3 linked regions of the Stegostoma tigrinum genome follow. The protein of the gene in region 1 interacts with the protein of each later gene in a pairwise test. Links are inferred from orthologs where the notes say so. Each region holds a gene or a part of one and is shown on either strand. Other genes may lie near its edges.

Region 1 (7,397 bases):
TGTTTACAAGAAAGAATGTAATTTTAGTCAAATGACTGGGAGAACCATTGTAGTACTGTTGGGTAAAATATTTATACTGTTGGTTTTATGAAAGGCGGAGGAAACACATTCAGAAAATTAGTTTTGTTTTGACTTAAGAGCAGATAGTTCAGAGTTTTAGTTCAGAAGAACCCGGAGTTCACTTTCGAAGGTAGAACAGGAGAATTGAGATAATGGCTTGGCGGTATTATCATATGACTGCTAATCCAGAGACCCAATTAAATGTTCTGGGGACCCTTGAATCCCACCATGGCAGATGGTGGATTGTGAATTCAATAAAAATTTGGAATTAGGAGTCTGCAGATGACCATGAATCCACAGTTGATTGTTGGGAAAACCCATCTGGTTCCCTTTAATGTCCTTTAGGGAAGGCAACTATCATTCTGACCTGGCCTGGGCCACATGTGACTCCCCAGACACACAGCAATGTGGGTTGACGTTTCATTGCCCTCTGGGCAGACAGGGATGGGCAGTAAGCGCTGGCCTCATACCATGACGTATAAAACAAATCAAGTCAGTGCAGGGGAACTATCATCAGCAGAGGCAGTCTCGAGTTTGTGGGGCTTCCAAGCAAGGAGAGTTTGGATAGAAATCTTCAAATTGTTAGAACTGAGAAAATTTAAGGCCATAAGAATTGTGAAATGTACAGATTGGCAAAAAGATTGTAAGATTGCCACTATAGATTAAGCAAAAGACATGGGGGAAAGCCAGCTAAGTAAAGATTTCAGAAAGCTGGATTCCAAAGAAGAGTCAGATTGCACTCAAAATGTTAACTTTATTTCTCTTTCCATGGATGCTGCCAAACCTGCTGAGTTTATCCAGTACTTTCTGTTTTTATATTTAAAATAGCTGAAATTGAAGTGATGTTTCTCTGGGATTGAGTCTCTGAAGTAGATAATGATGGCAAATAGGTTGAAAATTTGTTTTATTAAGATTTTTCTAACTTTGTACATACACATTGTTATTTTGTGTGATAAACTTTTATTTTCTTATCAGAGAAAATCTACAGCCTCTTGTGAATATGTTTCAGCAACTAACCACAATAACCAACTTCAAAATTAACCACATGATCCCTCCACCTCCTCCAGAACTTTCGATTCTCTGGTCCCCAACACCTCATCATTACATGGACGTCCAGTCCCTAAACACCTGCATTCCCCATACAGATGGTCTAACGGCTGTCCACTTCTTCCTGTCCTGCAGGCCGACCAGTCCCCGCCCACTGACACCCTCATCCACTTGGCCGAGCTCATCCTCACCCTCAACAACTTCTCTTTTAATTCCTCCCATTTCCTATAGACAAAGGGGGTGGCCATGGTTACCCGCATGGGCCCAAACTATGCCTGCCTCTTTGTAGGTTACATGAAACAATCCCTCTTTCGCACCTATACTGGCCCTAAAGTCCACCTCTTCCTCTGTGGCATCGATGACTGTATCGGCGCTGCCTTGTGCTCCCACGAGGAGCTCGAACAGTTCATCCACTTCACCAACACCTTCCACCTCAACCTTAAGTTCACGTGGACCATCTCTGGTACCTCTCTCTCCTTCCTGGACCTCTTTGTCTCCATCTCTGGTAACCACCTGGAAACTGATAACCATTTCAAGCCCACCGACTCCCACAGCACCTAGAATACATCTCCTCCCACTCACCTTCCTGCAAAAATGCTATCCCCTATTCCCAATTCCTTCAGCTCCGCTGCCTCTGCTCCCAGGATGAGGCATTCCACTCCCATACATCTCAGATGTCCTCATTTTTCAAGGACCACAACTTCCCCTCCACGGTGGTCCAGAACGCCCTCAACCTTGTCTCCGGCATTTTCCGCAACTCATCCTTCACACCTCCTCCCCTCAATAACAACCAAAACAGAAACCCCCTCATCCTCATTTACCACCCCACTAACCTCCAGATCCAAAGCATCATCCTCCGACACTTTCGCCATCTGCAATCCGACCCCACCACTAAAGACATTTGTCCCTCCCCACCCTTATGTGCTTTCCGGAGGGACCACTCTCTCCTGGACTCCCTTGTCCGCTCCACACTCCCCTCCAGCCCTACCACACTCGGCACATTTCCCCGCAACCACAGGAAGTGCTACACCTGCCCCCCACACCTCCCCCCTCACCCCCATCCCAGGCCCCATGAAGACTTTCCACATCCACCAGATGTTCACCTGCACATCTGCTAACGTGGTATACTGCATCCGCTGTTCCCGTTGTGGCCTTCTCTACACCGGGGAAACCAAGCTGAGGCTTTGGGACTGCTTTGCAGAACACCTACGTTCATTTCGCACGAAGCAACTGCACCTCCCAGTCGTGAACCATTTCAACTTGCCCTCCGATTCCTTAGACGACATGTCCATCCTGGGCCTCCTGCACTGCCACAACGATGCTACCTGAAGGGTGCAGGAACAGCAACTCAAATTCTGCTTGGGAGCCCTGCAGCCCAATGGTATCAATGTGGACTTCACAAGCTTCAAAATCTCCTCTCCCCCTACCACATCCCAAAACCAGCCCAGCCCGTCCCTACCTCCTTAACCTGTCCTTCCTCCCACCTATCCCGTCCTCCCACCCCAAGCCCCAACCCCATCTCTACCAACTAACCTCATTCTGCCCCCTTGACTTGTCCACCCTCCCTGGGCTGACCTATCTCCTCTTTACATCCCCATCTACACTCACCTCTACTGGCTCCATCCCCGCCTCTTTGACCTGTCTGTCTCCTCTCCACCTGTCTTCTCCTCTATCCATCTTCTATCCGCCTCCTCCTGTCTCCCCATTTATTTCAGAACTCTCTCCCCCTCCCACATTTCTGAAGGGTCTAGGCCCGAAAAATCAGCCTTCTTGCTCCTCTGATGCTGCTTGGCCCGCTGTATTCAACCAGGTCTGCACCTTGTGATCTCATATATGATCCATCAAACCAGGCTTCATTTCAGGATCTGACTTGTCCAGTATTTTTATCAGTTGGAATTATAATACATTTAAAAATCTCCTTGAAAATGACATACTTTTGTGATCATACCAATATCTCCTTGTGTAGCTTGATATCATATTTGTTTAATTATGTTCTGATAAGCATCCTAGGATGGTTGATAGTGTTAAAGGTACTCTACGAATATGTGTTTTTTGTTGCTAGTCTCATCAAACCAACTAAATCATCCTAGCAAACAAAACCAGATATGCTGTTTTACTCTGCTTTTTTTCCAAAGCTGCTCAGTTTAGCCCTTAGTTATGGTGTGATGAACCATGAACATCATCATTGTCAAACGATGTTTTGATATTTGAGACAGAGATTCAGTGAGGTGGCAATGTTCTTGCAATCCTGTTCTGTGAGTTTAGCAGTTCGAACAAAGATCAATTAACTCATCATAAACTTTGTCTGGCCCGGCGAAAATTTTAACTCATTGAGGAATGGATCAACTTCTGGGGGAGAAGTTTAAATTATGGTCTTATGCACTGAAATCCCTCAGCATTTTCACTCCTCGGCTTTTGAGAGCATTGAGATCATCTTCTTAAGGTAGCTAGGGATCTTAATTATCAAAAGTTTAAATTCCAGTGATGTAATTCAGTCTCTGATACTGCATTAACAGTGACTTGCATGAACCTGCAGACCACCAGGGGCTTACAATTCTGGGAGCTGGGACCAGGAGTGGAAACACTTTCTGCTTTTCTGTCTTCATCTCTCCCTCCTCAACTATAACTGACTTACTTATTCAGCTTGCTAGAACTAGTCTCTCAAACTTTGTGATTGCCGATATTTTGCTGGGGTAAAAGGGCAACATTGCCCATCCCTAAATGCCCACAAGGCAGTTGAGAGTTAACCGCTTTGTTATGGATCTGGAGTTACATGTAGGCCTGGCTGGGTGAGGATGGCGGTTTCCTTCCCTGAAGGACTTTGTGAGCCAGATGGATTTTCCCACCAATCAACAATCATCTAATGGCCATCTGTAGATTCTTAATTTCTGATATTTTTATTGAATTTAAACTCCACCATCTGCCATGACGGGATTCAAATATTAGCTGAGTTTTTGGATTAATAGTCTAATGGTAATACTACTAGGCCATGGCATCCCTGCATTAATAAATCTCTGGATTTAAGATTGGCTGTAGACTTGAAGCTTATTTATCTCTTTTCTTTCAGTCTTTCCTGAGAGTATTTCATTGCTTAGCTTTTGTCGCCTGGAGTTAATTATTACGGGGCAATAACAAATGAAGCTGGTTCTTATTACAGCCTGTGTCTGACTGGCCAAGGGTCAAAGCGTCTCTCGGTGTGTCCTTACGTCAGTAAAAAGCTGCAGCTGAGGACTGAGAGTATGAGGTGCTTGTGTCTGTTATTAGTTACGACCAACCAACTCACTTCCAAAAACGTTTCCAAGTTTGTTTTTGCTGTGCAAATTTTCCATTGCCTTATTATGCGGGAAGCCAAAACAAGGAAACAGAGTTAGGGACTGCAAGATGGAGCCGGGATCAAGAGGAGTTCACACTCTGGGAGGTCTCATAAACAGGGTTATGAGGTAAATGCAGCTGATTTCAATTTCCAGAGAATGAATCTGGACTTGGCGATGACAGGAGAAACAGTTCAAGGGGATTGCACCACCTCTGCCCCTCACATTCCTGCAGGACCTCTCAGCAGGTGTACACAGCCCTGTCCGGATGGTACAAAGTTTCTGGAATCTTGCACAATGCTAAACAGTGAAGAGCAGTCAACCATTGACAGGTAGGAAATATTGTGAAATAAACACAGAGCGGGGAGATTTGGGGAGGGGGTATAAAGTATAATTGCTTCTTATGCACTGTCGTGTTTTCAGACCAGAGTCTGATCAATACTGTCAGTCAAAGTAATGCGGGGACATTCCACAGTCCTAAGTCACCAAACTGTGTGGCAACAAAATTACACAGAGTGGCTTCTGAAATACAAATGGAACAATAATCAGTTCAAAGCCCACTTTTAATCTGGCCACGACGTCTCTGTTGAGAAGATTGAGATAATGTTGAAGGAAGCCTGAGCACTGCAGGAAGATTTTTTAATCAATTAGAGATGTGGAGAAGTTTGTTTTTCAAATGCTTGAGGAAGAGGAATACATAAATAAATAAAACACCTGAGCCACACAGGAATTTGTAGTTTCACTGTGGGAAATAATGCAGGACAAGTCATTGAAACAGAAGGCAGTGTTGAAGGAAAGACTAAATAAATTATATTATCATTTTACATGTGAAGATTCGACAACTGCTTTTGATCTGCAGTGTGGAAAATTGCATATGCCACTGATCCTATACAAACTCTAGGATATTCACTGCGACTAGAAATGACAGAGTCAGCAGGTGACAGATAATGCTGTAAGTGAGCAACTTATTTACACTAATGTGTAGCATAGCACCACAGAATGCCTCAACACAGACAAGCAAAGACATTCTATATCATATATATTGTCAACTAAATGGGAGGTATTCCATATGCATCAAGAAAAGGAGGCAATGGGATTTCTGCAGAAAATCAGTGTTCAGTTTCACACCAGGATAGTCTAGAACATTTACAAGAGGAACCTGGCTCCACAGAAGATGGCAGCCACACAGCACAGTCAAGCAACAGCAAGGTGTTCCCACATTAGAAATAGTGAGACAGAAGAAAATAACATTTAACAGTACCAGAGTACTCTATCTAAAGATTATCAGTGCTATATGTTGGCAACAGAGTATGTAACTAGAGAATTATTAAGGCTAGATATCCTTCCTAATGCAGATAAAGCAGTTATGGAGGAAATGTCTGATTCTAATGCTTCTTACTGTAAACTTTAACCAAGTCTGGGACTCAGAATACTACCTGGGACTTCCTTCTTGATGCCCCAACTGTGACATAGGTGGAGTCCTCACAATATCATTGTCTGTACGAGAAAACCCTCATGTGGAAGTAATGCCACTACCTATAGAGAGAATCACTTTTTACCCAAGGACAATCTTAATTGCTTCATCTTTGGAATAATCTTTAAAATAAATGCTCATTCTTCTTGTGGTCTACCTGACTCGACGGGGTGGGGGAGTGTGTGTGTGGTGAAGGTGTGGAGTGATGTTGTCGCACTGGATGATACAGCTATAAACCCTTTACATCAGGGATGACACTCATTCTATTATGAGCCTTGATGAGTAAAATTGGTAATTTTGTACACAGCATATTTAAGTAGATCATATTCCCTCTTAGCGCTGAACTGAGAATGTCCTTGCTTATTTATTATATAAATCTTGGAGACAACAATTGTTGGGGGCCTGACTCCAACTCACAGAGATACAATGCCATTTTCCAACTCACTGCACCACTAAGAAATTTAACATGGTTTGGCGAGTTTTGAGAAGATTAACATGGTTTGGTATATTTCAATAGAAATAGGTACAAACTTGCACAGCTAGAGAAGAAATAGATTCGTTGAGCAAAGACTCATTAAGTGTTATTTCCTGTGAGGTAAAGTAAGATATACTAGATATTTTATATCTAGAACTATGTAAAATCTTTCAATTCAGCAACTGGCCATTCAGCGGCACAAATCTTTTGCCAGTGTTTATGTTCTACACAAGCCTCTTTCCCAACCCAATTCAGCTGTCCTATACCCTTTTTATTTCTCTCTACTCTTATACTTATCTAGCTTTCCTTTAAATGTATCTACACTAATTGCCTCACCGTTTCATGTGGTAGCATACTTCGTACTGTAAAAGAATATCTAAAGCAACCTAAAGCTTAAAACACTTGCAATAAACTGTAGTTTGAGGAGGTTTCTGGCTGAATTATACATTAGACAAAATGTGCCATGTGCTCTGAGTGGCTGGAGCAGTGGAATGTAATGTACAATGTTCACTCAGTTGATTATTTAGGGAAATGCGCCCTCAGTGTTGCATGTGGTGGTAATCTGAACTGTAGGCAATATAGTTTTGTGGCTTTCCAAAGGATGAAAGGAGGGTTGAAACCTGTTGCCTGGATTCTGAACTTTATTGCTGGATGAGGAGAAAAGATTCAAAAAGTATATCTATATAAATTGAGGTTTAATAGTTGCTCTTCACAATAGGCAAATAGCCCCAAGTTCACCTTGGCCAATGCTGTGTTGTCCTTATTCAAACAAATGGGTTAACTCTCTGTCATTCACTGAGCTTTGGCCTGCAACCAATATAAACATATACAATGGACTGCAAGTTCTTTTCAGATATCCTAATCTGTTCCCTTGCAAATAGAAACCTTATTCAGAGTCATTTGTGCTCTAAGTATTACTATGAAGTGTAAAGTCTAAGCAAACATAAGATCATCAAAGATTAACTTTGAGGAGAAAAGTAATCTGATAATGGGCACATTCTAAATGCTGTGAATTTGATAACTTTTACTG
Region 2 (7,671 bases), on another chromosome or scaffold:
CACCAGTTCCTCAGAAAGTTCATTCCACACACGAGTGGCTGCACTTTGTCCTAAAGACCACACCCTACCTAAGGGGAAGGAGCTTTTCCCACTCCCTTTATTAAAAAAATTGCTCTTTGTGTCCCTTTTCAATATTTCTCCTCTCACCTTAAAATATGTCCTGTAGTTTTGAAATCCCCCACTCTCGGGAAAAGATACCTGCTATTCACTTTATCTGTATCGCTGGTCATTTTATAAACCTCAAAAAGGTCACCCCTCAACCGCCTCTACTCCAGTGAAAAAAAGTCCCAGTCTATCCAGCCTCTCCTTACAACTGAAACGCTCCATACCTGGCAACATCCTGGTAAATCTTTTCTGAATCCTCTCCAGCTTAATAGTATCCTTCCTATAACAGAATACATACCAGAACTGGACACAGTACTCCAGATGATGCCTCACCAATGTTCTGTACAACCTCAACATGACGTCCCAACTCTAATACTCAAAGGTCTGAGCAACGGAGGCAAGCGTGATAAACGCCTCTTAACCACCCTGTCTAATGTGATACAAACTTCAAATAATTATGCACCTGAACTCCTACGTCTCTCTGTTCTATAGCACTACCCCTAAGGCCCTACTTTTAATTGTATAAGTCCTCCTCCAATTCTCTTTTGATTGCTACTACTGAATCTGCTTCCACACGGCCCCCCTCAAGGTCTCGCAAGCTGCTGCACATCAGTACCTTTGCTTGTGCTTAGTTACTGCCACTGAAGATATATCTCTCATCCAAAATAATACTTCATGATTATCAACATCACGAATGAAGTCAACAGTCTCTCCACATAACTGAACTCCCAACCAGCAGATATATGGGAGCACCACCATCTTCAATTTCCCCTCCAAGCCACTCACCATCCTGAACTTAGAAATATATCGCCGTTCCTCCACTGGGTCAAAATCCTGGAATTTCCTCCCTAAACGGCATCGTGGGTCAACCCACTGCAGACGGACTGCAGCAGTTCAAGAAGGCAGTTCACCACCACCTTCTCAATGGCCACTCGGGATGGGCGATAAACACTGGCCAGCCTGATTTGTCCACAGAAGCCAGATACCATACTTGTCAGTCTCTTCTGATGCCTGTGCAAGTCCTCCATATCTTTCCAAACGCATGGGTACACACTGCCTCTAAACATAGCAACATTGTTTTTGAACTTCTTCTGTTGATAAATTGCAGGGTTGTTAAAGCTGTTATGAAGAAAATATTCATCCTGAATGTTTAATCACCTCTGCCCTGTGTCTTTAGAAAGTCCATATATACTTGCAGCACCCTCAATCTCCCCACCAGTTGACCAAAGAACACTCAAGTTTATCACATACTTTTGCCTTTTAACAAATCAACACTAACTGTAATTTATTTTCCATTTGTTCCCACAAGATGCTGTCTGGATGTACCCTCTTGCCCGAAGCAGAATTCTTGTAGATTCAAGTCCCACTCAATAAGGACTTAAACTCAAAAATCCATGCAACATGGACTCCAGTTCAGTACTGAGGGACACACTGTCACTCCTAAGAGATGTTAATACAGAGGAGCCCTGACTGAGTCTTACATCGATTTTGACGCAGGGCCAGGAAACCGTTCCTGTTGCGTCAAGATAAACAAGACATCACAGAAGTGCGACAGTGCAGAAGAAATAACAAATTCATGAGAATGAGTTACACATAGGCATCTACTGGAGGGATGGATGGGCTAATGGGCTGAGATAACAAGGTGTAGAGGTAGATGAGCACAGCAGGCCAAGCTGCATCAGAGGAGCAGGAAGGCTGACGTTTCGGGCCTAGACCCTTCCTCGGGCCGAGAAGTGGCTGATGGAGATAAATGTAGGTGTTGCTTTTGGGTAAGGCAAATCAGGGCAGGACTGAAATGCTTGGGGAGTGTTGTCGAACAAAGAGGAGCAGGTTCAGAGTTCATTGAAAGTAGACTGGCAAGCAGACAGGGTGGTGAAGAAAGCATTTGGCACTTGACTTTATTGGTCAGTGCATTACGTACAAAATTTGGGAGGTCACGTTGTGGCCGTACAGGACATTGATGAGGCCACTTTTAGAATACCGCATTCAATTCTCGTCGTTTTTCAAAGGCAGGGGATTCCGAAACCAAACGGCAAAGATTTAAGGTGAGAGGGGAGAAGATTGAAAAGGGACCTGAGGGGCAACTTTTTCATACAGAAGTTGGTGCGTGTATGGAATGAGCTGCCAGAGGAAGCAGTGGAGGCTGGTACAATTACAGTATGTTAAAAGCATCTGGATGGGTATATGGCGAGGAAGGGTCTAGAGGGATATGGACCAAATAATGGCAAACAGGACGAGGTCAGACTGGGATGGGTCTGGTCGGTGCGGACCAAAGGGTCTGTTTCTGTTCTGTACATCTCTAATGGCTCACTTTCTCTTTCCATTCTCCATGTGTTCAGGGTCAACCACATGGCTGTGGTTCTGGGTGTATGTAGAGGTGGGACTAGGCCTGCCCTCTGGAAGAGACTTGGAGCAAAGGGACGCCACCACAGAGTGATAGGGGGAGGGGTGTAGTCACACATTCGAGACGGCCGTGAGGAGGAATTTCCTCTCTCAGAGGGAGGTTGTTTGCCGCAGAGGGCTGACGCAGAGAGAGATGTGCTTTAAATCAGGAAGGAAATCCAGGGAAAAGGTAGCGAATTGGAATTTGAGGCTGATCAGGTCCGGGACTCGATGGGCTGAATGGCCTCCTGCTGTTCTGATGGTGATGTGTGTGCGAGTGCAATGACACGGCCAGCACCACATCCCCCTCCTGCGGCCTGCTGGTCCAGCTCTCACCGGCTGCCAGCATCCACCTCCACCCCCCCCCTTCTTCACTCTGACCCGACTGTCGGTCCATGGCGACCGCGCGGCGCTTCGCGCTCTCCCCGCCCCAATCCCGTTCTCGTTCTCCTCCCATCAACTGACCATTCCGTCCAGCGCCGGGCCTCCACCAGACCGACTAGGCCCCGTCGCCAAGGCGACACCGCACGCTCCCGGCCCTGCTTCCTTCCTCCTTGCAAACTGCTCTTCACCCGGGCTGCGGCATGACGCCACTGCGTCCGTGCCCCCTGCCCGACGCGGCATCTCTTTCCTGATTGGTCTGGGTAGCTGCCCGTCATTACCCGGAGATGGGGCTAGGGGCGGGGCTGAAACGCTCACCTGAAGATTGGAAGCTGAATTTCCTTGATCACTGAAGTGTTCCCGACTGGGAGGGAGCATTCCTGTCTGGCGATTGTTTTGCAGTGTCCATTCATCCGTTGTTGTAGCATCTGCATAGTCTTGCCTCGGAGCATCCTTGCCTGGAGCATATGACGTACACAACACTGGCTGAGTAACATGAATAGCTGCTGTGTATACGATGGGTGGTGTTCCCATGTGTGATAGTAGTATCCATATCAATGATCTGACGTGCCTTGCAGAGGTTGCCTTGGCAAGGTATTGTGGCGTTGTGATTGATGTTCTCCTGAAGGCTGGATAGTTTGCTGTGAATGATGGTTTGTTTAAGGTTTGGCGGTTGTTTGAGGGTGACAAGTGGAGATATAGGGAGCATCTTGGCAAGATACTCATTGTCATTGATGACATATTGAAGGCTGTGAAGTACATGGCGTAGTCTCTCCGCTCCAGGGAAGTACTGGACAATGAAGGGTGCTTTCTGAGTCTCTCCGCTCCAGGGAAGTACTGGACAATGAAGGGTGCTTTCTGAGTCTCTCCGCTCCAGGGAAGTACTGGACAATGAAGGGTGCTTTCTGAGTCTCTCCGCTCCAGGGAAGTACTGGACAATGAAGGGTGCTTTCTGAGTCTCTCCGCTCCAGGGAAGTACTGGACAATGAAGGGTGCTTTCTGAGTCTCTCCGCTCCAGGGAAGTACTGGACAATGAAGGGTGCTTTCTGAGTCTCTCCGCTCCAGGGAAGTACTGGACAATGAAGGGTGCTTTCTGAGTCTCTCCGCTCCAGGGAAGTACTGGACAATGAAGGGTGCTTTCTGAGTCTCTCCGCTCCAGGGAAGTACTGGACAATGAAGGGTGCTTTCTGAGTCTCTCCGCTCCAGGGAAGTACTGGACAATGAAGGGTGCTTTCTGAGTCTCTCCGCTCCAGGGAAGTACTGGACAATGAAGGGTGCTTTCTGAGTCTCTCCGCTCCAGGGAAGTACTGGACAATGAAGGGTGCTTTCTGAGTCTCTCCGCTCCAGGGAAGTACTGGACAATGAAGGGTGCTTTCTGAGTCTCTCCGCTCCAGGGAAGTACTGGACAATGAAGGGTGCTTTCTGAGTCTCTCCGCTCCAGGGAAGTACTGGACAATGAAGGGTGCTTTCTGAGTCTCTCCGCTCCAGGGAAGTACTGGACAATGAAGGGTGCTTTCTGAGTCTCTCCGCTCCAGGGAAGTACTGGACAATGAAGGGTGCTTTCTGAGTCTCTCCGCTCCAGGGAAGTACTGGACAATGAAGGGTGCTTTCTGAGTCTCTCCGCTCCAGGGAAGTACTGGACAATGAAGGGTGCTTTCTGAGTCTCTCCGCTCCAGGGAAGTACTGGACAATGAAGGGTGCTTTCTGAGTCGTATCCTGTGTTTGTGTTGTGAGGAGGTCATTGTGGTGTTTCACTGTGGCACGTTGGAACTGATGGTCGATGAGTTGAGCATCGTGTATCATTCTTATGAGGGCACCTTTCAAAACCTTTAGATGTCTGATTCATTCCTCCTCATCTGAGCAGATCCTGTGTATGCACGGGGTATGTCCGTAGGGGATAGCTTCTTTAATATGTTTAGGGTGGAACCTAGAGAAGTGCAGAATCACAAGGTTATCCATGGGCTTGCAGTTGAATAAGATAGAGGTATCTGTCCTTGATGGAGATGTGTGTGTCCACGAATGAGACTGATTCTGAAGAGTAATCCATTGTAAGTGTGATGGTGGGATGAAACTTGTCGATATCACAATGTAGTTGTTTCATGATTCCTCACCAAGAAAAGAAGTAATCAATTATCTGGTGTGTAACGTTGGTCGGAGATCCTGTGCGGCAAAGAAGTCTTGCTCAAAACTTGTGCGTGAAAATGTTGACACGTTGGCACGTACAGTCCCCATGTTCCATGTGTCTGGATGAAGAACAGGGTGTTGAAGGTGAAGACGTTGTGGTCAGGGATGAAACAGATGAGTTGTAGGATGGTGTCTGTTGGTATCGAGTACTGAGGCTGTTGCAGTGATGCCTTTGTCGTGGGGGATGCTGCTGTAGAGCACCAAAACATCCATTGCGACAAGGAATGTTCCTGGTTTGACTGGTGCGTAGATGCTGAGTTTCTGTAAGAAATCTGTCGTGTCGTGGCGGAAGCTGGGGGTTCCTTGTACAGTGAGATTCAAGATGCCGTCGACATAGCCAGAGAGGTTCTCATACAGGGTCCCATTGCCTGATACGATGGGACGTCCAGGTGTATTGGCTTTTGTATCTTTGGAAGGCAGCAGAACTCTCCAACATGAGAAATGCGCAGGATGATAGTGCATAGGATAATCAGACGATCTGGATCAAAGGTCTTGATCAGTCTGTTCAGTTGAAGGTTGTGTTCCGGTTTGTTGGTTGTCTGTTTGGGCTCACTGCTGACATCTCGGGGTTTGAGGAAGAATTCCCAGAGCCTCAGCCCCCTGATGAATTCCTCCGTGTCTGCCACAAGACCAGGGGGGTCCGTTTTGGTAGCGGGGCAGAAATTGAGCCCTCAGCTGAGAACTTTGATTCCGTCTGGTTGAAGGGTGTGCTCCGACAAGTCGACAATAGATTTCCGTGTGGTCAACGGGGTCTGGTGTTGAGGGTCCAGGTGTGAGGGGAATTGATGGGGTGTGGGTGGGGGCTCCGGTGTTTATGGGTGGCTCAACTGTGCAAGGGCACTGCCACTCCTGCTGCTATGCTCCCTACCCCCGCTTCCCCCCCCCTCAAATTCTGGGGCAATGGAAGGGAGCAGCAAGATCCCAGAGAAATGGTTCTGTTGCAGCCGCTTTCCTTCTTGCACTCTGGCTACGCACAGCCCACCAATTCTAAAAAAATCAATCGAACAGACCAAAGGAACTGCAGACGTTGGAAATCTGAAACAAAAACAGAAGTTGGCTGCAAAAACTTAGCAGGTCTGGCAGCCCCGGTGGAAAGAAATCAGAGTTAACTCTTCTTCAGAACTCATGGGAACTAGGAAAAGGATGTTTTTTTTAAATCCAGAAAAGTGCGTAGGTGGGCGAGGAAATGATAGCCCGAGATAGAAAAACAGTTGGGCAGGCAAAGGAGTGGATAAAAGTCAACTTGGGAGAATGAATAGTTACTAATGGGGACTGTTAGAAGCTAACGATTGGTAGTTTGATTGAGCAGACCATGTGATAACAAGGCCTGGTGTGTGGGGTTTGGGGTAAGGACACGGGAGAAGGGGCCTCAAGCCCAAAAATTGTTGAACTCGATATTGAGTGCAGAAAGCTAGAGTTCCCAAGTGGAAAATGATGTGTGCTCTTCCAGCTTGTGCTGACCTTCTCTGGAGCACTGCAGGAAGCCTGAGGCACAGATTTTGGCCAGGGAACAAGGTGATGTGTCGAAGTCAATGGGTGTGGAGCTTGAAAAGCACAGCAGGTCAGACAGCATGCGAAGAGCTCCCCACCGCAACCGCCTTGAGAAGGTGGGGTGGGGGATGGTGAGCTGTGTGACGTGGAGACATCCAGACAGTGCTGAGAGAGAGGAAGTGGGGCTCAGGACCCTGTGTTCGACATTGCGGGGAGGGTGGAGGGTGGGATGGAGGGCTGAGGGGAAACAGAGGTGAGATTCCCTCGGCGGAGTTTTGGCAAGTTCACTCGGAGGCGAGTCCTCAAGGACTTGCGGGTTGTGGCGGGGGAGGTGAAGGGTTGTGAGGATTGGAACCTTTCTCTTCCCGGATGTGGCCTCACTGAGCCTGAGGCCTGTCCTGATCACCGCCTATTGCATTAACAACGCTGATATCACTAGGAAACCTGATCGCCCCTTCTGTGTGTAAAGTGTGGAGCAACAGAGCAAAATCCAAACCACCACTGCATACTGAAAAACCATAGCCTTAAACCACCTACTGCTTCCTGACACTGAGCCATGAGTCTCTACTGCCCAGTTGCCCTTATCTCCTTGCCTTTCATCTGAAAACATCTGCTTTGAAGAACTTTGTCAAATGCATTCTGAAAGTCCATAAGAAAGCCCTTACAAATGGACATTATTTTTAGCCAACTATTTCCAACTAGATGGAGTTTAATCTGGATAAACATGAGGTATTGCATCTGGGGAAAATACACAAGAGCAGGACTTGGGCAGTGTTGTAGAACAGAGAGAGGTAGGAGCTCAGATGCTTAACTCTTTGAAGTTTGCGTCTCATGTAGACAGGATGGTTAAGAAGGCTTTTAGCCTTCATTGCTCAGACCTTTTGAGTGTAGGAGTTGGGACGTCATGTTGAGGTTGTACAGGTCGTTGGTGAGGCTTCTTCTGGAGCACTGTGTCCAGTTCTAGTCCCTCTGTTATAGGCAGGTTATTAGTAAGCTGGAGAGGGTTCAGAAAAGATTTACCAGTATGTTGCTGGGAATGGAGGGCTCAAGTTATAAGGGGAGGCTTGGACTTTATTCACTGCAGCAAAGTATGTTGAGAGCTGACCTTATAGAGCTTAATAAAACCAT
Region 3 (7,980 bases), on another chromosome or scaffold:
AATCGCAGTGAACATTGTATTTAAAAGAGCATCATCTTCACAAAATTCAAGCTGTTTTCCTCAGTGTTATGACAACCAAAGTTTAACTGATTCAAGTTAGCATTTCATATTCCTGGATTACAAAACAGGAAGCACTCAGTCTGAAGTTAACTACAGCAGAACAAATGTCAGATAGACCAGTGTCTGCAATACTTAGAGTGTATAAAAACCACACCATTGTCTGAAAATACAACTGGAGCCATGATGTCGTACTAGTTGCAATCCAACTTGTTCCATCCCATCACTATTGTCCCAGCTCTCCAAAAGTAGTACTCAGAGCAGTCCTCATCATGGTTTAGTGGGCTGTTGGGTCAGAGCAGTTACTCAAACAAGTATTAACACCAACACCTCAATTTTAGTATCATCTCTCAGAACAGTAATCCTCAGTTGATAATTGTACTCATTAAAAGCAACACACCCAGAACTGTTCTGTAACTTAAAAGCCCAAATAAAATGAGATGCCTTTGTTATGAATCGCTTTAAAATGCAAAGCATTTCCTTTGATGCAAAACCCAAAATCAGAATGTAAATAAAAAAGCACTAGAGATTAAAAATCCCAGTCTAAAATTGCTGGCTTGGGTGGTAGTGAATCAGGCCTCTCCATTTGTGCAAAATTGCATTTTAAATACTGGCACTGCCAGTAAACAGCATGACAAAAATCATTTGATGATCTTTTATTACGCCTTCATTTCCCAAAACTATTCCTTACTGCTAACTTGGCCATTGTTTCTCCCCAAATTTGTCACTTGGTACAAAGTGGACACACCCAACCATTCCTTTTTTAGAACCACTAGCCCTTGAACAGATTCAGTTGAATTCATGACGCAACATGGCTTCAAGGAAATCCGAACAAAGTGATCGCAGGTGGTGCCAAGAAATAGATTGCATCATTTAGCCATTGGTGAATTTTTAATTCAATTTAAAATTTCAACCTCGTAGAACATTCCTCCCTAGAAAAAAGTCACAAGCACAAGATTTCATTATTACTTTGGAACTAGTACAGTTTGCAATAAATTTATCAGGAATAAAGGAAGAGGTGGTAAGAGCTCAACAAGTACTCTGTAGACAGTACTGGATCCCTTTATGCTGCATCTGTTAGACGAAATCAGAAAGCCCAAGATTACAATACTTAGACGTCCATATCCTCACACCTGCTTCATTTGTTTTTATAAGCTACTCCAAATGTTACTCTCCTATACAACATAGCTATTTAAGTCCTTCCTTTCTCCAGTCCATTGGAGACCAGAAACTTTTCTTCCAACTGGAAGTGCTAGTTTCCAATAATCTACATTCAATCCACATTAAAAACAAGTTGTCAGTTAGTAGTGGCATTGCAATCGTTGTCAATTTTTTCACAAAAAGGATTTGTAATTTAATTCTAGCAACTCCCTATTCTGGAATTTCTGTAATTGCCAAATTTGCAAACAGTAAAATTAATTACAACAACATGAAGAAGTGGAAAATTGTGGTTATTCATAGGAGACATTCTCAAAGACATCAATGCTACTTAGCTTTGGACCAGCTGATCAGTGGTACACCATTGACAGGTGCTAAGAAACAGAAAACCTCCACTTGTTTCTGGTGTCAGTTCAGAACTGAATAGTGGATCCGCGTAATACTGATATTGGCTGCAGGCCCCAATTTTACTCCTCAGTCAGAGATAAGTCACAAGTTAAATGCAGGAAGATTAGTGATGACACTATTGGTACTTCATTGCTTTGTTACAGTGCTAAAAACACAGCTGTCAATTAAAATCCCTCAAAATCTTAATAGCTGCCACATTGTAGGGGTGGATGTCAGTGATCGAAGGTTAGAAGAATCAAGTGCCACAGACTGAACTACAATGTAGTACCTTCAACTGTTACCTCTTAAACGGTGAGTTATCTGTCTAGTCAGAATAATATCATGTTTCAAAGAAAGTTCAAAAGAAACCACTAAATATTTGACCCACTTAGGTTAAGTCACATTCTGTACACACACATGCCATGTCATATACAAGTATCTCCCCAACTACTTGAACCAAAAGTTCAAACACCACACAAATTGCAGTAGTTTGTTTAAAACTGAATTAATTTTCAGGCTTTGGATTAAAAAGAACCCCCATTTCAGTTGGCAGTCAAAAATGCACTAAGTGAAGTGAGCTTTATAGTCAAGAAAGTAGTAGTAATTAGCTACATTAATCTGGCAGACAAGGGTACAAACATTTCAGGCCTACCATTAGTCTATACAAATAAAACACAGTATGACAAATGTTTTCGAAAGCTGAAGAATGCCCAACAGTTGCAAGACAATTTAACTCTTCACCAGATCCATTCTACCGGAGTTCTTGGAGCTCACACCAATCCCTAAATTCGGGCCATTTCTCCTATATTAAAAACTCAGTTGAAGTCAACTAAAACTAACTCAGAATTAAGACATCGACAGTAGGCACTAAGGATGTTTTCTTTATAAAGGTTAAACACAGCAATGTCCAGTTTTGGGAAAGTACCTGCTACGTGTGAAGTATAACGACGGCCTATTCCCAAGTGAAATGCTCCCTCCTATTAATATGCAGCTCTCAGCAAAGTCTAATCATTAACAACCTTTTGGTTCAACAGCAACACCAACAAAGGCCGACGGGGCGAGAGGAGCGAGCCCCCAGGGAATGGGGAGATGGGCCGATGGGGCCTGGGTAAGGGGAGGGGGATTGATCGGGGGGAAAGAGGGCACTGATGCCCCATCAAGGGGCATGGCCCCGGGGCCCAGTCGCCCGACAGGGGGAAGCGGGCACCTCGCTGGCCGGGGCCGGGGACTCACCCTTGAACAGATAATCATACTCGTCGTCCCGGGCGCCCATCGCTCTCGGCTGAAAGTTCCACAGACTCCCGGAGCCGCTTGTTTCCGCTTCCGGTGCGAAGATCACAATCCGTCAGGAATTCTCCCAGATTGTATTTCCGCCCGACCGTGCCGGAAATTGTCAACAAAAAGGGAGCGAACCAATAGATTAATATACAAATAACACTGAGTCAATAAATAAACAATAACCAGGGTTAATCAATACATAAATAACACTGGGTTAATAAATAATAATCAGGGTTAATTAATACATAAGTAACACTGGGTTAATAAATAATAATCAGGGTTAATCAATACATAAATAACACTGGGTTACTAAATAATAATCAGGGTTAATTAATACATAAGTAACACTGGGTTAAATGTGTTAAGAAAGTCGATAATAAGTTAATTACTACGTTAACTAATAAATGATACTCAGTAGTTCAGTTCAATGATAACAGTCAACTTAATGAATCGTTTACAGTCTGATAATGTAAACTAAATAAATTAGTTAATAATAATAGTGGATTAATAAATTACTTAATACATGCCCCTGTAAGTCTGTTAATAAATGTATTAATTAGTCTTAATTAAATAATTAATAAGTGTATTAATATATTAATTTATAAACAAGCCTGTTAATAAATAACTGTATATAAATTAATAAAAGCTTTTGAAAAATTAGTTAATAACAGAGGCTTAATAAATTAAGTAATGGATTTGTTGATAAATTAATGAACACGAGATAAATAAATTAGTTAATAGTAACGGTAGATTTGTCAATAAATCACTAAGTTTGTCAATATCGTCTGAACCTCAAATCTTTTGGTTTTCGTTTGGGGCGGGGTCTGATACGTCATAGGGCGAGGCCATTAGATACCTTCTTTCTGATTGGACGCGGTCTGGGACCGTGACCGTGATGTCACTGCGGCGAGAAACATGTAGTTGGAGCGCCACCCAGAGGATGGCTGGGGTAACGATGTTCGCTCTGTTTCCCACTCAGACACCTCCCTGCACTTCCCATGGCGAACCCACACGTCTCCAAACACTGCAGGGTCCTCTCCTCATGAAGGGTGAATCTTGAGTCTTTCTGCCATATTGTGAGCTGTTTTCTTTCTGGAATGAGAGGGAGGCAGATATTACAGCAGGTGGAAAGGGATGGCACAGCTAATTCAGTTGGTACTAATGGAATGGTGTCACAAGTAAGTGAATAGACATCAGACATGTAAGATTAGGGGTGTTGGGGGGTTGTGGTGCGTGAGGGTGACTGAGGGAGAATGTCGCAGTCAGTTGTGAGAGTGGGAGAGTATGGTGGGAGGTGATTTATGATTTTATCATCACATGGATGTGGAAGCTTTGGAAAGGTTGCAGAGGAGATTTACTAGAATGTTGCCTGGTATGGAGGGAAGGTCTTACGAGGAAAGGCTGAGGGACTTGAGGCTGTTTTCATTTGAGAAAAGAAGGTTGAGAGGTGACTTAATTGAAACATATAAAATAATCAGAGGGTTAGATAGGGTGGATAGGGAGAGCCTTTTTCCTAGGATGGTGACGGCAAGCACGAGGGGGCATAGCTTTAAATTGAGAGGTGAAAGATATAGGACAGATGTCAGAGGTAGTTTCTTTACTCAGAAAGTAGTAAGGGAATGGAACGCTTTGTCTGCAGTAGATTCGCCAACTTTAGGTACATTTAAGTCGTCATTGGATAAGCATATGGACGTACATGGAATAGTGTAGGTTAGATGGGCTTCAGATCGGTATGACAGGTCGGCACAGCATCAAGGGCTGAAGGGCCTGTACTGTGCTGTTATGTTCTATGTATATTACAGTCAGAAACACAGTAAAATACAGTGAAAAGCTTTTCCACTGTTGCCATGATTTTGAATATTTTTAAGAATTAAAAAAGAGAGTCTGTCAGTTGTGAGCCAGCTCACCCTAAAGGACACCTGTAACGCCATCTCCCCTCCACTGCCTTGCCACCATCTACACTGGACCCAACCAACATTGAAATTGCCACTGTTCAGGTGACATGTTTTGCTGCTGTGCGGATTCTCCAATGTCACCACATGCACCAGGCCCAGGTGGGTGCAGTGTGAGAGAGTGAGGATGAGGTATCAGAGAGAAGATGGTGACAGTTATCCTGGTGGAGTGGAGAAGGACATTGACCTTCTTCCTACAGCATTGGGCATTCCTCGAAACACTGAGACTGCATTGACCCAAGAGTGGGGCTAAACTCAGTCCAGACTTTGCACGGCCCAGTGTCAGGGCCTCCTCTGCTGGTCCGTGGGGGAAGAGAACATCCCACATCAGCACCAACCCATCCTAGCAGGATCTCCAGCTTCCCAATCACACAGAGGGGCAGCGATTACCCCCTGTCATGTCCAGGGCAAATATCGAGAACCGTGCAGGTCAGCTCTGGATTGACAGTGCTTGCCCGGATGCAGAACAGGCTTTTATAGATGTTTTGCACATTTGGAGTTTGTGATTGTCCTCCCATTGAATTCAGAAGATGTGGTGGAGGCTGTGTGGTTGGAATTTCTTGAATATTCAGATTCCAGGTCTCACTGCTGTCCTGGATTATGATGATGACAGCTTTTTGTAAACTAGGAGCTTTGGTCTGCTGCAGAACTCTGTTATCTCAGCCTAGTCTGTACAAGGTGGATCTGGCACAGCTGAGCTAGTGATGGATCTACTTGTCAATAGTGGCTTTTTAAGATAGGTGCTGAGATTTTGCAAGTATTCTATATATTCCTGGACTCACATTCAGCATAAATGGACATTGAAATGTTTGGGTGGCCAGCTATAAATCCTCATAGCTACTAACATCAGAAGAAGAAACAGATTATCTGGCTGTTATTACATGCCTGTTTATGAATGTTTGCCGAGTGGATATTAGCTGCTGTGTTCCGTACATTACAACAGAGACTACACTTCAAAAAATGATCCATTTTCTGTAAAACTTTGAAACTGGCAGTGTCATGACAAGCACTGTATAAATGCAAGTCCTTCTTTTCAGGATCACCTGACTCCAAAAAAGCATTATTTTAGTAGTGTAATAAGCTTTAATTACTGGCAAGTAACTTGTGCCTCTGAAAATTATTTTTTCCCTGATATGAAGTTTGATTCTTTCAGATGTCGATTTTTTTGAAACATTTTTAAAGAAATTGTTGTGATTGAAAATCAGTTTAAAGCATAAGTAGAAATAGTTCAGGGATAATGGGAACTGCAGATGCTGGACAATCCGAAATAAGTGTGGAGTTGGATGAACACAGCAGGCCAGGCAACATCTTAGGAGCACAAAAGCTAACATTTCGGGCGTAGACCTTAGGCCTGAAACGTCAGCTTTTGTGCTCCTAAGATGTCGCTTGGCCTGCTGTGTTCATCCAGCTCCACACTTTGTTATCTCTATAATAGAAATAGTTGTTTCTTTTGTTTTCCATTTTAATCTAAAATTTCTTTCTCTCTCTTTATGAACCAGATTTGATAGTGAATCAAGTATTCCAGCAGAGACTTCACATTTAGATTCTTCAATTTGATTGGCTCCATAGTGACTTTCCTTCTTCACAGAAGTCAAAGGTGGTTTGCTTTTTTTTAGGAATTGGCTAACAGCAACTTTTCAATGCAAAATGTAGAAAAGGTTTGGTTGACAAGCTTAATATTTGCCCAACTCCAAAATCTGACCAATATTTCAAACTTTTTCTTTTAACAAGCATTTTTATCTGGATATGAGAAACTAATTTCAATGTTGTTTTTTATGTCAGATGCAGGATTTGAGCATTTTGTTTTTGGTAATCAATGTGACAAGCATCTTTCTGAAGGTGTAAAAGCCACTTCATCAGCTGTTAATGTACAGCCTTTGTGCTGCTTTTAACTTCCCATGTTTTAAACATGCATAAATCCAAATGGCCCCAACGTCCTAAACATGAATTTCACCAGTTTAAAAATCTCCTCATCCAGGCCTCATCATATGTCCAACCCCCCCCCATCCCTGCCTCCTTGACCTGACACAACCTGTCCATCTTCTCACCCACCTATCCACCCCTCCTACCTCACTGACCCATCCCTAACCTGCCTACCTGCACTCACCTATCACCATCCCACCTACCATCCCCAGTCCCACCCCATCCTCTCTATTTATTTTAGAGCTCCCTTCCTCCTCCCCATTTCTGAAGAAGGGTCCTGACCCAAAACTTCAATTTTCCTGCTCCTCTGATGCTGCTTGGCCTGCTGTGTTCTTCCAGCTCCACCTTGATCTGTCATTGATTGAAATTTTAAAGTTAAAATTTGATTTGATTTACTATTGTCACATGTATCGGGATACAGTGAAATGTATTGTATTGTGTGCTAACTGGGCAACTCATACCTTACATAAGTACATCAGGGCAAAAGAACTGAATGCAGCTTATGGTGTTACAGCTTCAGAGAAGGTGCAGAGAGAGATCAACTCTGATCTATAAGACATCTGTTCATAAGTCTGATAACAGCAGGGAGAAGCTGTTCTTGAATCTGTAGGTAAGTGTTTTCAAGGTTTTGTCTCTTCTGCCTGATGGAAGAGGTGGAAGAGTGTAACCAGAGTGATTAGATTTAGATTCCCTGCAGTGTGGAAACAGGCCCTTCGGCCCAACAAGTCCACACCGCCCCTTGATACATCCCACCCAGACCCAGACCCATCCCCCACACCCCTGAACACTACGGACAATTTAGCATGGCCAATCCACCTAGCCTGCACATCTTTGGACTGTGGGAGGAAACCGGAGCACCGGAGGAAACCCACACAGACACGGGGAGAACGTGCAAACTCCGCACAGACAGTTGCCCGAGGCTGGAATTGAACCCGGGTCCCTGGTGCTGTGAGGCTGCATTGCTAACCACTGAGCCACCGTGTCGCCCCTTGGACGGGTCTTTGATTATGTTGGATTTTTTCCCAAGGCAGCGGGAAGTGTAGATGGAGTCAATGGAAGAAAGGCCTTTTTTTTAATGTTGGACTGGGCTACGTTCAAAAGTCTCTGTAATTCCCTGTGGTCTCGGCAGAGCAGTTGCCATGTCAAGTTGTGATGCATCCAGATAGGATGCTTTTGGTGGTACATCTGTAACGTTGGTAAGAGTCATGGTGGATGTCCTGAATTT

Evidence for each region.
Region 2: the proteins of guanine nucleotide exchange factor for Rab-3A-like (region 1) and nudt18 interact in binary tests that used the Homo sapiens proteins (3 or more experiments, as listed by UniProt). The two-hybrid records come from large-scale screens. The link is inferred for Stegostoma tigrinum from reciprocal best matches to the Homo sapiens genes RAB3IL1 and NUDT18.
Region 3: the proteins of guanine nucleotide exchange factor for Rab-3A-like (region 1) and rab11a interact in a two-hybrid assay, tested with the Homo sapiens proteins (2 studies listed by BioGRID and IntAct). The two-hybrid records come from large-scale screens. The link is inferred for Stegostoma tigrinum from reciprocal best matches to the Homo sapiens genes RAB3IL1 and RAB11A.

The regions. Positions count from the first base shown.
Region 1 is NC_081370.1:18,132,039-18,139,435, forward strand, and holds the start of guanine nucleotide exchange factor for Rab-3A-like, read left to right. Parts: upstream 1-4,303; 5' UTR 4,304-4,577; coding exon 4,578-4,750; intron 4,751-7,397. UniProt on the Homo sapiens protein: Guanine nucleotide exchange factor (GEF) which may activate RAB3A, a GTPase that regulates synaptic vesicle exocytosis. Promotes the exchange of GDP to GTP, converting inactive GDP-bound Rab proteins into their active GTP-bound form.
Region 2 is NC_081393.1:15,506,072-15,513,742, reverse strand, and holds the start of nudt18 (8-oxo-dGDP phosphatase NUDT18), read right to left. Parts: upstream 3,072-7,671; 5' UTR 2,953-3,071; intron 1-2,952. UniProt on the Homo sapiens protein: Mediates the hydrolysis of oxidized nucleoside diphosphate derivatives. Hydrolyzes 8-oxo-7,8-dihydroguanine (8-oxo-Gua)-containing deoxyribo- and ribonucleoside diphosphates to the monophosphates. Hydrolyzes 8-oxo-dGDP and 8-oxo-GDP with the same efficiencies.
Region 3 is NC_081386.1:35,467,173-35,475,152, forward strand, and holds the start of rab11a (ras-related protein Rab-11A), read right to left. Parts: upstream 3,025-7,980; 5' UTR 2,876-3,024; coding exon 2,836-2,875; intron 1-2,835. UniProt on the Homo sapiens protein: The small GTPases Rab are key regulators of intracellular membrane trafficking, from the formation of transport vesicles to their fusion with membranes.